Linked DNA regions of Arabidopsis thaliana. The protein of the gene in region 1 purifies or fractionates together with the protein of each later gene. This does not show direct contact. Each region holds a gene or a part of one and is shown in the gene's direction. Other genes may lie near its edges.

Evidence for each region.
Region 2: the proteins of RbcX2 (region 1) and rbcL purify together in Arabidopsis thaliana (affinity purification with mass spectrometry, with the first as the bait; one study listed by BioGRID). This does not show direct contact.
Region 3: the proteins of RbcX2 (region 1) and THI1 purify together in Arabidopsis thaliana (affinity purification with mass spectrometry, with the first as the bait; one study listed by BioGRID). This does not show direct contact.

The regions. Positions count from the first base shown.
Region 1 is NC_003076.8:6,711,443-6,715,930, reverse strand, and holds RbcX2 (Chaperonin-like RbcX protein), read left to right. Parts: upstream 1-1,993; 5' UTR 1,994-2,485; coding exon 2,486-2,767; intron 2,768-2,862; coding exon 2,863-2,954; intron 2,955-3,078; coding exon 3,079-3,136; coding exon of another isoform or gene 3,137-3,166; exon of another isoform or gene 3,167-3,475; coding exon 3,476-3,541; intron 3,542-3,651; coding exon 3,652-3,765; 3' UTR 3,766-3,959; downstream 3,960-4,488. Other genes in the region: AT5G19860 (transmembrane protein, putative (Protein of unknown function, DUF538)), read left to right, coding at 94-591, 1,351-1,398; AT5G19850 (alpha/beta-Hydrolases superfamily protein), read left to right, coding at 4,269-4,488. UniProt on the Arabidopsis thaliana protein: Chaperone involved in RuBisCO assembly process.
Region 2 is NC_000932.1:53,249-56,950, forward strand, and holds rbcL (ribulose-1,5-bisphosphate carboxylase/oxygenase large subunit), read left to right. Parts: upstream 1-1,709; coding exon 1,710-3,149; downstream 3,150-3,702. Other genes in the region: atpB (ATP synthase CF1 beta subunit), read right to left, coding at 1-908. UniProt on the Arabidopsis thaliana protein: RuBisCO catalyzes two reactions: the carboxylation of D-ribulose 1,5-bisphosphate, the primary event in carbon dioxide fixation, as well as the oxidative fragmentation of the pentose substrate in the photorespiration process.
Region 3 is NC_003076.8:22,244,778-22,248,885, forward strand, and holds THI1 (thiazole biosynthetic enzyme, chloroplast (ARA6) (THI1) (THI4)), read left to right. Parts: upstream 1-1,741; 5' UTR 1,742-1,856; coding exon 1,857-2,255; intron 2,256-2,378; coding exon 2,379-2,867; intron 2,868-2,952; coding exon 2,953-3,114; 3' UTR 3,115-3,555; downstream 3,556-4,108. Other genes in the region: AT5G54760 (Translation initiation factor SUI1 family protein), read left to right, coding at 180-385, 548-601, 696-740; AT5G54780 (Ypt/Rab-GAP domain of gyp1p superfamily protein), read right to left, coding at 3,919-3,930, 4,017-4,100. UniProt on the Arabidopsis thaliana protein: Involved in biosynthesis of the thiamine precursor thiazole. Catalyzes the conversion of NAD and glycine to adenosine diphosphate 5-(2-hydroxyethyl)-4-methylthiazole-2-carboxylic acid (ADT), an adenylated thiazole intermediate.

The DNA.
Region 1 (4,488 bases):
AAAAAAAGAGTCAAACTAATCTCAAAAACGATTCTCTACAAAATCAATCAATCTCAGAAGTCTTCTCTCTCTCTCTCTATCCTCAAACAAAGTATGGCCCTTTATCCTTTCTTCATCTCAATCTTCATCTTCTCTTTGACCCTCTTCACTACGACGACCCATTCCCTCAACGAACCCGACCCGGATTCGATTTCCACCGTTTACGAACTCCTCCCAAAGTACGGTCTCCCAAGCGGTCTCTTACCGGACACCGTCACCGATTTCACCCTCTCCGACGATGGCCGATTCGTCGTTCACTTGCCCAATTCCTGTGAGATTGAATTTGACTACCTCGTTCACTACGATAAGACCATATCTGGTCGTATCGGTTACGGTTCAATCACCGAGCTCAAGGGTATTCAGGTGAAGAAATTCTTTATTTGGCTCGATGTCGATGAGATCAAGGTCGATCTTCCACCTTCTGATTCAATCTACTTCAAAGTTGGCTTTATCAATAAGAAGCTTGATATTGACCAGTTTAAGACTATACATTCTTGTCACGATAATGGTGTCTCTGGCTCTTGTGGAGATTCATGGAAGAGTTTTCTCGAGGTAAAGATTAGATCTTTGCGTTTTTGGGGCCGTAAATTTGGTTGATATGATTGAAGATATTTCTGGGCTTTAAGGGTTCTTGAGGATTTATAGGAGATACTGATAGATTCTGGAATCTCTGAGTTTCTGGGTTCAAGTTGCACTGACCATTGTTGGATTTGTAGATTGTTTCTTCATTTCATTAGGCATTGATTATGGGTAAATGCGTGGGTACATATAATATATATCTGTTGAATGCAATTTACACATTGACTGAGGAACAACATGAACATGGCAGCTTTCTCAAAATTGAACCACAGAAGGCTTAAAAGCAAAGTCTTTGGAGAATCAGACTAAGCTTGAGAAAGGGTTGAAATTTATCTATCTAAGACTTGTGAAAAGAAACTGTATTTAATGCTTTCACATTGCTGGTTTTTGAGGGACATACATCATTGAAAGTTGAAACTGATAGTAGCAGAGTTTTTTCCTCTGTTTGGTTCTCTTTTGTTCTTTTAGTTCGTAGTGATAGCTTAATGCGTAGCTGAGAAAAGTGGAATGCTGTTTGTTTATAATACTAAAGTAGGTCATTCTGCATTTCTTGCAATGTCAGTTGTACAAGCCTCTAGCAAATGTTTTCCGATCTTTGATGGTTTTTGTCTGGTTCTTGAAATGGTCATTGCCTTAGATCCTTTCAAACCAGCCAACTCGCGAAAGTGATTCAGGCTGGTTTGTAGGGAATTGGTGGTACCTGCAATTAACAGAAGCTTTTGTTTTTCTCAGAAAGGGCAAGGAATGATGGATGAAGCGGAAATGTTAATCACCGAGTAAAACACTCTTGGCAGTCACAGAGTCTGCGACAACACGCAGATAGAGTTGAGTCTCTAAGTCATGTTTGTACATATACATACAATAACTAGACAAGTCTTTTCTGTAAGACTTGGTATGAAATGTCGATATATCCATTATGTACGTCTTGTTAAAACTGGTTTCCACGAAAATGTTGTATCTCATGACTAAATGTCCCCGAGTTCGTTCCTCACCACCATAGTTAGACTGTGTGGCCGTTAAGCTCCTTACTACTAGTTGTTGTATCATGTATGGCATAACGAATGGAAGATGCATTCTAAGAGCTGATAGGTTGTTTCATATATTACATTAGAAGGTGATCTGCTTGAGAACTTGATCTGTTTGACTCTTACCAGATTATACTAAGAATACATTCAAGTTCGGAATGATCTGCTTGAGAACTTGATCATTCTCGGTGACCGTAAGGGTTTTAGTGGCTGTGATGAAGGAAAGGGCTGAGCACAAGCCTTGATGTACATTGATGTCCTTGTTGATGTGATAGTGGAATGGTTTTGAACTACTGATTCGAGAGTCATGGTGGCTGAGATATGCCGAACAAGATGGCCGAGAGTCTTATAGCAAACTTATTTTCTCCATTGGTAACCAAAAAAATCCGGCCTTTGATTATGCCTTGGATTCATAAGCATTTTAGACCGATGCCCGAACTCGTGATTTTGAAGACTTTCTCGTGATTCTGCAATTCTCCCATGTTTTTTCTAACTTACAAGCTGCAAGACGACAAGAAATACACCTTATTTTAGGGAGGCGTCCACGTAAACCCGAAAGCCCACCCGGTGCTTTTCTTGTTTGTCTTTGCCTTTGCCTCTGCTTGCTAGGAAAAATAAATAAATATCACAAGTCCCTGATTTTGACTGGCTAAGATTCAACGGCCATTTTCCATCTTACAGACCCAATTCTTGTTTTCTGTTTTGCTATAACAAACCAGGGTCAGGGTTTTATCTTCCATATTCTTTTCCCACTGATTCTTACAATCGATCTAAGGGAATCTACGAACTGTTTGGTAATTTCTGGTGGGAAAAGTCTTGATCTTGCTGTTTGGTTTGGAGTAATGGTGAGTGCTTGGTTTGTTGTTGGCTCACCGGTGATGGACTCTTCGAGCAGTCCATGTTTATGTCTGGATGCTCACACGACGGGTACCATCAGGAGGAAGAAGATCCTTGGCAAAGCAAGAAATCTGGAATTAGGAAGCTCTTTCACTGGCTCACGCATTGTTTTTAGGCTTTCTCCGAAGCGTGTATCGAGAATTGCGAATCGAAAGAGCAAAAAGCTCTTGATTGTGAATGAGGATGTTGCTGGTAATTACGACGATACCTTCGGTGATGTACAAAAGGTGAGAGAACTTTTGCATGAACCCTTGTTTTCATAGACAAAGATTTGACCTTTGGCAATAACCTTATTATGGATGGCTGGCTTTCGATTTTGTAGCAAATTGTTAATTATTTTACATACAAAGCTGTGAGGACGGTTCTTCATCAGCTGTACGAAATGAATCCTCCTCAATACACTTGGTTCTATAAGTAAGTTTCTTATGCTTTATCATTTGATTAAAGTTCTGTATAGGATTAGATTTAACAAAAACACTTTACTCCGATCATTTTTGCCTTGTGGTCTTAATTATGTTTCTCCTTTGTTGTAAAACAGTCATATCATAACAAACAGACCGACGGATGGCAAACGTTTCCTCCGTGCCCTCGGCAAGGTAAACAAGTTTAGTTTATATCTCACATGAACAAGCATCATCTGTAAGATGCATTAGGTCTAGTTGAACAAGTTCAGCTGGTATACTATAACTAGCCGAGGACTGAATGTAGCAGATTGTAGCTGTGGTGAGTTGGTTAATGAGCAGTTAGTGAGGGCTGAAGTTTATAAGACTTGTCTCTGATTTGGTGTATTGCAACAGAGATAGCAGTTCCATAGATTTGTTCTTATTACAATCACACTGTGTTGTGATAAATTATGTTTGATTCAACCTTGTTTAGAGCTTGGTATTTAAACACAGACAATTGAGTTTGATTTTTTTTGTCTTAACTACTTGTAGGAGAGTCAGGAGCTTGCAGAAAGAGTGATGATCACGCGTCTTCACTTGTATGGCAAATGGATCAAGGTAAAATCGCTTGCTATATCTCGCTCCAGTTTTGGTTTATGTGTTTTTCCCTTCCTGCCATGGGAACCAGAAAAGACTCAAAAGTTAATATTGTATAGTTTGTTGTGTAGAAATGCGACCATGGGAAGATATACCAGGAAATATCGGATGAAAACTTGGCGTTGATGCGTGAACGCCTGATGGAGACCGTGATATGGCCTTCCGATGACACAAACTCAAGGTAATAGGCTGAAGAAGACAGCGCACACCACAGCACAACATTTGCTTTGTCAATTTGCTTCTCAGTTTTTAGGACTTCGAGTTTTTTAGTTTGATTACATATTACTATAGTGAAAGAGCAGTGTGTATATGATGTCTATTCTTGGCATGTACTATATGATATTAGGGGCAAAAAACAACACCCTTCTTGTGCTCCTAAACTTACTTTCTCAGTCATCTCTTACGCTCACACCACTCACATTAACATTGGTAGGCTCAAAATGATAATCACAATGCCAATCTTCTCATTTTGCAAATAAAGAAAAGAAAATAATAAAAATTGATTACTAGTTTTGAGTATTGACAACCTTTATAAGCAAGCAACAACAGGCTTGAATGCAATGACGTGGTCATGATTAAGGAAAACAGCGGTTGGTCCAAATCGTAACACTTGTCCTCGTAACAACTTCAAAACCTGGTTTGACTTATATTACAGTCCTCACTCATCACGGAACCACGCCGAAAATTCATGGCGAAGACTAGCATTTTTGCAGCTCTACCCTTTACCAACTTCGAATTCCCGTCGCTGTTCCGTGTCAAGAACTCTTCGATTATCAGTTTCAGCGAAACCCATTTTCTCCGACAATCAATTTCGACCGCAATCGTAAGATCTCCGACTAAGAGGGGAATTGTGTCCGTCTCATGTTCTTCCGTCACGGACGAAGCTTCTTCTGAAGAGCTACAAGTTC
Region 2 (3,702 bases), on another chromosome or scaffold:
CTAAGGGTGGGTTGATAACCCACAGCAGAAGGCATTCTACCCAATAAGGCGGATACCTCGGATCCTGCTTGTACGAAACGGAAGATATTGTCGATAAATAGAAGTACGTCTTGCTCATTAACATCTCGGAAATATTCTGCCATAGTTAAGGCAGTCAGACCAACTCTCATACGAGCTCCTGGCGGTTCATTCATCTGACCATAAACTAGGGCCACTTTGGATTCCGCAAGATTTTGTTCATTAATGACTCCAGATTCTTTCATTTCCATGTAAAGATCATTTCCTTCACGAGTCCGTTCGCCTACTCCACCAAATACGGATACACCACCATGAGCTTTAGCAATGTTGTTGATCAATTCCATAATTAGTACTGTTTTACCCACGCCAGCCCCACCGAATAGTCCAATTTTTCCCCCACGACGATAAGGGGCCAAAAGATCTACTACTTTAATTCCTGTTTCAAAAATCGATAATTTTGTATCTAATTCTATAAAAGCAGGCGCGGATTTATGGATAGGAGATGTTGTGCGAGTATCGACAGGACCTAAATTATCAACGGGTTCCCCAAGCACGTTGAAAATTCGTCCTAGAGTCGCTCCGCCGACTGGAACACTTAGAGGATTTCCCATATCAACCACGTCCATTCCTCTCTTTAAACCCTCTGTCGCACTCATAGCTACAGCTCTAACTCGATTATTTCCTAATAATTGCTGTACTTCACAAGTCACATTAATTTCTTGACCAAGAGTATCTCGACCCTTAACCACCAGAGCATTGTAAATATTAGGCATTTTGCCCGGGGGGAAGGCTACATCCAGTACCGGACCAATGATTTGGGCGATACGTCCCAGGTTTTTTTTTTCACGTATCGAAACCTCTGGATTTGAAGTAGTAGGATTTGTTCTCATAATAAAAAAAATATGTTAAATTTTGTTACGAATTTTTTCGAATACAGAAAAAATCTTCGATAGCAAATTAATCGGTTAATTCAATAAAAAGTGGGAGTAAGCACTCGATTTCGTTGGTCCCACCCAAGCGGATGTGGAATTCAATTTTTTATTCATTCAATGAAGGAATAGTCATTTTCAAGCTCAACTAACTGAAACCTAGTTTTAAAATAAAAAATATATGAATAAAAAAATTTTTTGCGGAAAGTCTTTTATTTTTTTATCATAATAGGAATAGGCAAGCCTTTGTTTTATCTAGCGAATTCGAAACGGAACTTTAGTTATGATTCATTATTTCGATCTCATTAGCCTTTTTTTTCGTATTTTCATTTTAGCATATCCGGTTATGCGTCCCATTTATTCATCCCTTTAGCAACCCCCCCTTGTTTTTCATTTTCATGGATGAATTCCGCATATTGTCATATCTAGGATTTACATATACAACAGATATTACTGTCAAGAGTGATTTTATTAATATTTTAATTTTAATATTAAATATTTGGATTTATAAAAAGTCAAAGATTCAAAACTTGAAAAAGAAGTATTAGGTTGCGCTATACATATGAAAGAATATACAATAATGATGTATTTGGCGAATCAAATATCATGGTCTAATAAAGAATAATTCTGATTAGTTGATAATTTTGTGAAAGATTCCTGTGAAAAAGGTTAATTAAATCTATTCCTAATTTATGTCGAGTAGACCTTGTTGTTTTGTTTTATTGCAAGAATTCTAAATTCATGACTTGTAGGGAGGGACTTATGTCACCACAAACAGAGACTAAAGCAAGTGTTGGGTTCAAAGCTGGTGTTAAAGAGTATAAATTGACTTACTATACTCCTGAATATGAAACCAAGGATACTGATATCTTGGCAGCATTCCGAGTAACTCCTCAACCTGGAGTTCCACCTGAAGAAGCAGGGGCTGCGGTAGCTGCTGAATCTTCTACTGGTACATGGACAACTGTGTGGACCGATGGGCTTACCAGCCTTGATCGTTACAAAGGACGATGCTACCACATCGAGCCCGTTCCAGGAGAAGAAACTCAATTTATTGCGTATGTAGCTTATCCCTTAGACCTTTTTGAAGAAGGTTCGGTTACTAACATGTTTACCTCGATTGTGGGTAATGTATTTGGGTTCAAAGCCCTGGCTGCTCTACGTCTAGAGGATCTGCGAATCCCTCCTGCTTATACTAAAACTTTCCAAGGACCACCTCATGGTATCCAAGTTGAAAGAGATAAATTGAACAAGTATGGACGTCCCCTATTAGGATGTACTATTAAACCAAAATTGGGGTTATCCGCGAAAAACTATGGTAGAGCAGTTTATGAATGTCTACGTGGTGGACTTGATTTTACCAAAGATGATGAGAATGTGAACTCCCAACCATTTATGCGTTGGAGAGACCGTTTCTTATTTTGTGCCGAAGCTATTTATAAATCACAGGCTGAAACAGGTGAAATCAAAGGGCATTATTTGAATGCTACTGCGGGTACATGCGAAGAAATGATCAAAAGAGCTGTATTTGCCAGAGAATTGGGAGTTCCTATCGTAATGCATGACTACTTAACAGGGGGATTCACCGCAAATACTAGTTTGTCTCATTATTGCCGAGATAATGGCCTACTTCTTCACATCCACCGTGCAATGCACGCTGTTATTGATAGACAGAAGAATCATGGTATGCACTTCCGTGTACTAGCTAAAGCTTTACGTCTATCTGGTGGAGATCATATTCACGCGGGTACAGTAGTAGGTAAACTTGAAGGAGACAGGGAGTCAACTTTGGGCTTTGTTGATTTACTGCGCGATGATTATGTTGAAAAAGATCGAAGCCGCGGTATCTTTTTCACTCAAGATTGGGTCTCACTACCTGGTGTTCTGCCTGTGGCTTCAGGGGGTATTCACGTTTGGCATATGCCTGCTTTGACCGAGATCTTTGGAGATGATTCTGTACTACAATTCGGTGGAGGAACTTTAGGCCACCCTTGGGGAAATGCACCGGGTGCCGTAGCCAACCGAGTAGCTCTGGAAGCATGTGTACAAGCTCGTAATGAGGGACGTGATCTTGCAGTCGAGGGTAATGAAATTATCCGTGAAGCTTGCAAATGGAGTCCTGAACTAGCTGCTGCTTGTGAAGTATGGAAAGAGATCACATTTAACTTCCCAACCATCGATAAATTAGATGGCCAAGAGTAGATGAATTAGATTTAGTAATTCACGTTTGTTTTATTAGTTTAATTGCACTCGGCTCAATCTTTTTTTTACTAAAAAAGATTGAGCCGAGGTTATCTGTTGTATATACTATTTTTTTTGATAGATACATACTTAAATTTAGATAGAAAAAAAACTCTTCAATAAAAAAAAGAAGATTAAACACAACTACAATTTTGTTATTGTAGTGTTGTGTCCACAAGAAATCCTATACGAAACATGGATTCTTAATTCTTAGGAGTGTTATATTCTTTCGTGTCAGGGCTTGAACCAAGTATCCCCGCTTCTTCTACCCCATCCTGCATGTTGTCCTTTTCTTTTCATTCCGTATTGGAATAAAAAAAGTTTTTTTTTATATTAGTATACGAGATTTTACTAAAAAAGTTCTTAATATTCTTATATTCATAAGCGAAGAACAAATATTTCTTTTTTTTTTATGAGAATTTTACACAATATAAGAAAATCCTTCTTTTCATTTAGAATTAAAATTGATTCATTTCAATTACTTTACTTAATAATCTTAGCAATTGCATCGATA
Region 3 (4,108 bases), about 16 Mb from region 1:
TACTCTACCAAAACTTGAGATTGTATTAGTCACTGATCTTCTTCTACTTGTTTTAGATACTTGAACATGTTATCATTTGTAAATACATGTTAATCAAAGCATCATTTTTTGTTTGATTATGCTGTTTATCTTACATGGGAATCTGTTTATCTCTCTCAATTTGCTGTTGCTTGTTTCAGATCCGTTTGCTGATGCGAATGTTGAGGACTCAGGTGCCGGAACAAAAGAATACGTTCATATCCGTGTCCAGCAGCGAAATGGTAGGAAAAGCTTGACAACCGTCCAGGGCCTGAAGAAAGAGTACAGCTATACCAAGATACTTAAGGACCTCAAGAAAGAGTTTTGCTGCAACGGCACTGTGGTTCAGGATTCAGAACTCGGACAGGTAGGTTTTATCAAAACACTCTATTGATCCATGTAGTGGAAAGTGGATGATAATATTTCTGTCGTTAGTGCCTGCTTGAACAAACCAGAATGATTTGGCCTCTTATCTGAACATTTGAGCTTCTCTGTTTTAGTTTTGTTTATGGTTTGTGTTGATTTGTAGGTTATACAGCTTCAAGGTGACCAACGTAAGAACGTCTCCACATTCCTTGTCCAGGTAAATATCAATAACTCTACGAGTCTCTTTACTGCTAAAACATACAAACTGTGTAAGATGATTGTCTGATCTCACTGTTTCTCTGTAATCACAGGCTGGTTTGGTGAAGAAGGATAACATCAAGATCCATGGTTTCTAAGCTATCTAGTGGATCATATTATTAATAAAACCATATCTTTTTCTTTCATCTCTTGTTGCGAATTTCGGGTTTGATTCATCAAAATCGTCTTCTTCCTAGTGTTCTTCTTCTGTTTGGTATTCGAATTTTAATGGCTTATGTTCACCATACTTCTTCCCCTGTTTTCGTGTTACTCTGTTTCACATCTTACTTATCTTATAATATCAGTTTGTTAAGATAATTCTGCTCTAACTTGTTATAATTTTTCTCTACAATGGTTCATAGTTTTAAAATTATATAAGGACCAACCGGAAGTTTATACGGTCGATACTTTCCAAGTATACCAAATTGCAGGTTTTAGTTTGGACCACAAAAAAGTTCAATGATCAAAAAGGCTGATGTATCTTCTCACTAGTAATAATAATTCATAAGCACACAAATAATGATAAATGAACTGTCTCTGTCACTAGTAAAGTCCAAATGCCGTCTCTATCGTACAAAGATATTTCACCTTCTTGTTGTTCGTGTCACCACACACTCACTGCAACTGGCTACAGATGTTCCCAGATAAAAGCTTCGAGATATTTTTTTATACATTTATTTTGATCCATATCACAATATTAATTGCAAAGTTTTTTCCCTTTTCTTCAAGAAATAGAGCAATCCGATTCAGTCAATTCTTTGAAGTTATAACAGTAATCAATTCGCCATTAATTTTATACATTTAATCAATGTATAATATAAGTATTTTTCTTTCATAAATGGGGGAAAAAAATAGAGATAGTTTTTGACCAAAAAAAAAATAAAAAAAAATAGACATAGTCATTGGAGATGGTTTTACTAAATTTGGGCTTGTTCAAGAGAAGTGTCTTTTCTTCATTCAATCAGAACCGTGAAGAAAGGAGATCGTTACTTTCCATTGATGGCTAAAAATTAAAATAATCACGATAAATATTAATAATACAAAAAACAATTAAAATAACAAAAAAAGATCAAAAATTCTCTAACCCTTCATTCCTTATCTCTGACGTGGCCATCAATCTTCAGATTTTCTTCTTCTTCTAATTTAAATACTCAACAACCACTCTTCACTTCACCATCAGCATCACTAAACTCGAACCCTAAAGAAAAACAAAAATGGCTGCCATAGCTTCTACTCTCTCTCTTTCTTCAACCAAACCTCAGAGACTTTTCGATTCTTCCTTCCATGGCTCAGCCATCTCCGCAGCTCCTATCTCCATCGGTCTCAAACCACGATCTTTCTCCGTTCGCGCCACAACCGCTGGTTACGACTTGAACGCTTTCACGTTCGACCCGATCAAGGAATCGATCGTGTCACGTGAGATGACGAGAAGGTACATGACGGATATGATCACTTATGCTGAGACTGATGTCGTCGTCGTTGGTGCTGGATCTGCTGGTTTATCTGCTGCTTATGAGATCAGTAAGAACCCTAATGTTCAAGTTGCCATTATTGAGCAATCTGTTAGTCCTGGTGGTGGTGCTTGGCTCGGTGGTCAGCTTTTCTCCGCCATGGTAAGATTTAGATTCATTTGCATGTGTGATTTTGTTGAAGTTTTGAGTTCTGTTTCTGTTTTAATGGAGAATTAGGGTTTAGATTGAATCATTATGAGTATTGATTGCTTGTGCTTATGGTAGATTGTTCGCAAACCAGCTCACTTGTTCCTTGACGAGATTGGTGTGGCTTACGATGAGCAAGACACCTACGTTGTGGTTAAGCACGCGGCTCTGTTCACATCAACCATCATGAGCAAGCTTTTGGCTCGTCCTAATGTGAAGCTCTTCAACGCTGTGGCTGCTGAGGATTTGATTGTGAAAGGAAACAGAGTTGGTGGTGTGGTGACTAACTGGGCTCTTGTGGCTCAGAACCACCACACACAATCGTGTATGGACCCTAATGTTATGGAAGCGAAGATTGTGGTTAGCTCTTGTGGTCATGATGGTCCTTTTGGAGCTACTGGTGTTAAGAGGTTGAAGAGTATTGGGATGATTGATCATGTTCCTGGGATGAAAGCTTTGGACATGAACACTGCTGAGGACGCTATTGTGAGGTTGACCAGAGAGGTTGTTCCTGGTATGATTGTTACCGGTATGGAAGTTGCTGAGATCGATGGTGCACCGAGAATGGTGAGTATTCTTGACCTATATATGTTTGATTTGGTATCCATAGTTTTCGTTAGATCATGTCCTGAGTTAGTTTGTGGTGATGTAGGGACCAACTTTTGGTGCTATGATGATATCGGGACAAAAGGCGGGACAACTTGCTCTTAAGGCTTTGGGGCTACCGAATGCTATTGACGGAACTCTCGTTGGAAACCTAAGCCCGGAGCTGGTCTTAGCCGCAGCAGATTCAGCTGAAACCGTAGATGCTTAAAATCAAAAGGTTTTAACGTTAAGAAAAGTTTCCCTTGATCCTTCGGATGTTGAAGGAGTGCAATAAAAGGAGTTTAGGTGTTTAATATGTCTTGAACTTTTCTGGTGTCTTTGTTTCTCTCTTCTGAACTTCTGTGTAAAATATCGTATCCGTTCATTCGTAATGCGTATGTTCTCGTTCTTCTCCTTCTTTATGGCTCTAGTACAAGCAGCTTTCTCGTTGTCGTTGGCAATACAAAATCTGTCTAAATTTGAGGGATGAGATTAGTGTTGGATGTCGGATTCTTGTCTTCAATTCTGATTCTTATCCTTGAAGAAATTATGTATAGATAGAGCTATTCAATGTCTATAGTTTCTCTGCTGATGAAAGAACGAAGAGTTTTATGATTTTAGATTCAGAGAACAGAGGAAAACTGTGAAATAGAAAGAAAAAAGTTTTTACATTTCTTTTATGAACATATATATATATATATATATACTGATGTCTGACCTGGAATTCAAATACTCCATCCTTATTTACATATATAATCCGACTTAGAAGTGCAACAATGAGTTTAGAAATGACATCGATGATAATTCTTTTGTGTGCTTTTTTTTTGTTTTGGTTTGTGAAACAAATATTACAAAATGTGTGGATTTGTATGAACAGTTTACAACGAGAAGTTGTTGTGTAAATTGGGCTCTTTTCTTCAGAATTCTTGCCACCCAAGGAATCGTTAGTCACTTTTTTGTCGCCGGTTTTGTGAGTTATCAAATATGTATAAAAACATACAAAAACGCTACTACTCGTGAATCTTCTGCAATGCTATTTCTTGGCCTGAAATACCAAAAACAGAACAATCAGAGAGTTATAAGATAGCTAAAGAAGGATCATACACAAACTCATAAGAGTATAAAGCAAACCTTTTTAAGATACTTCTTGTGAAGTTTCATTGCACCAGTACAGGCTTTTTTAGCATCCAAGTTTCCGGTTATGTCGTTTAAGATCTGAGCAA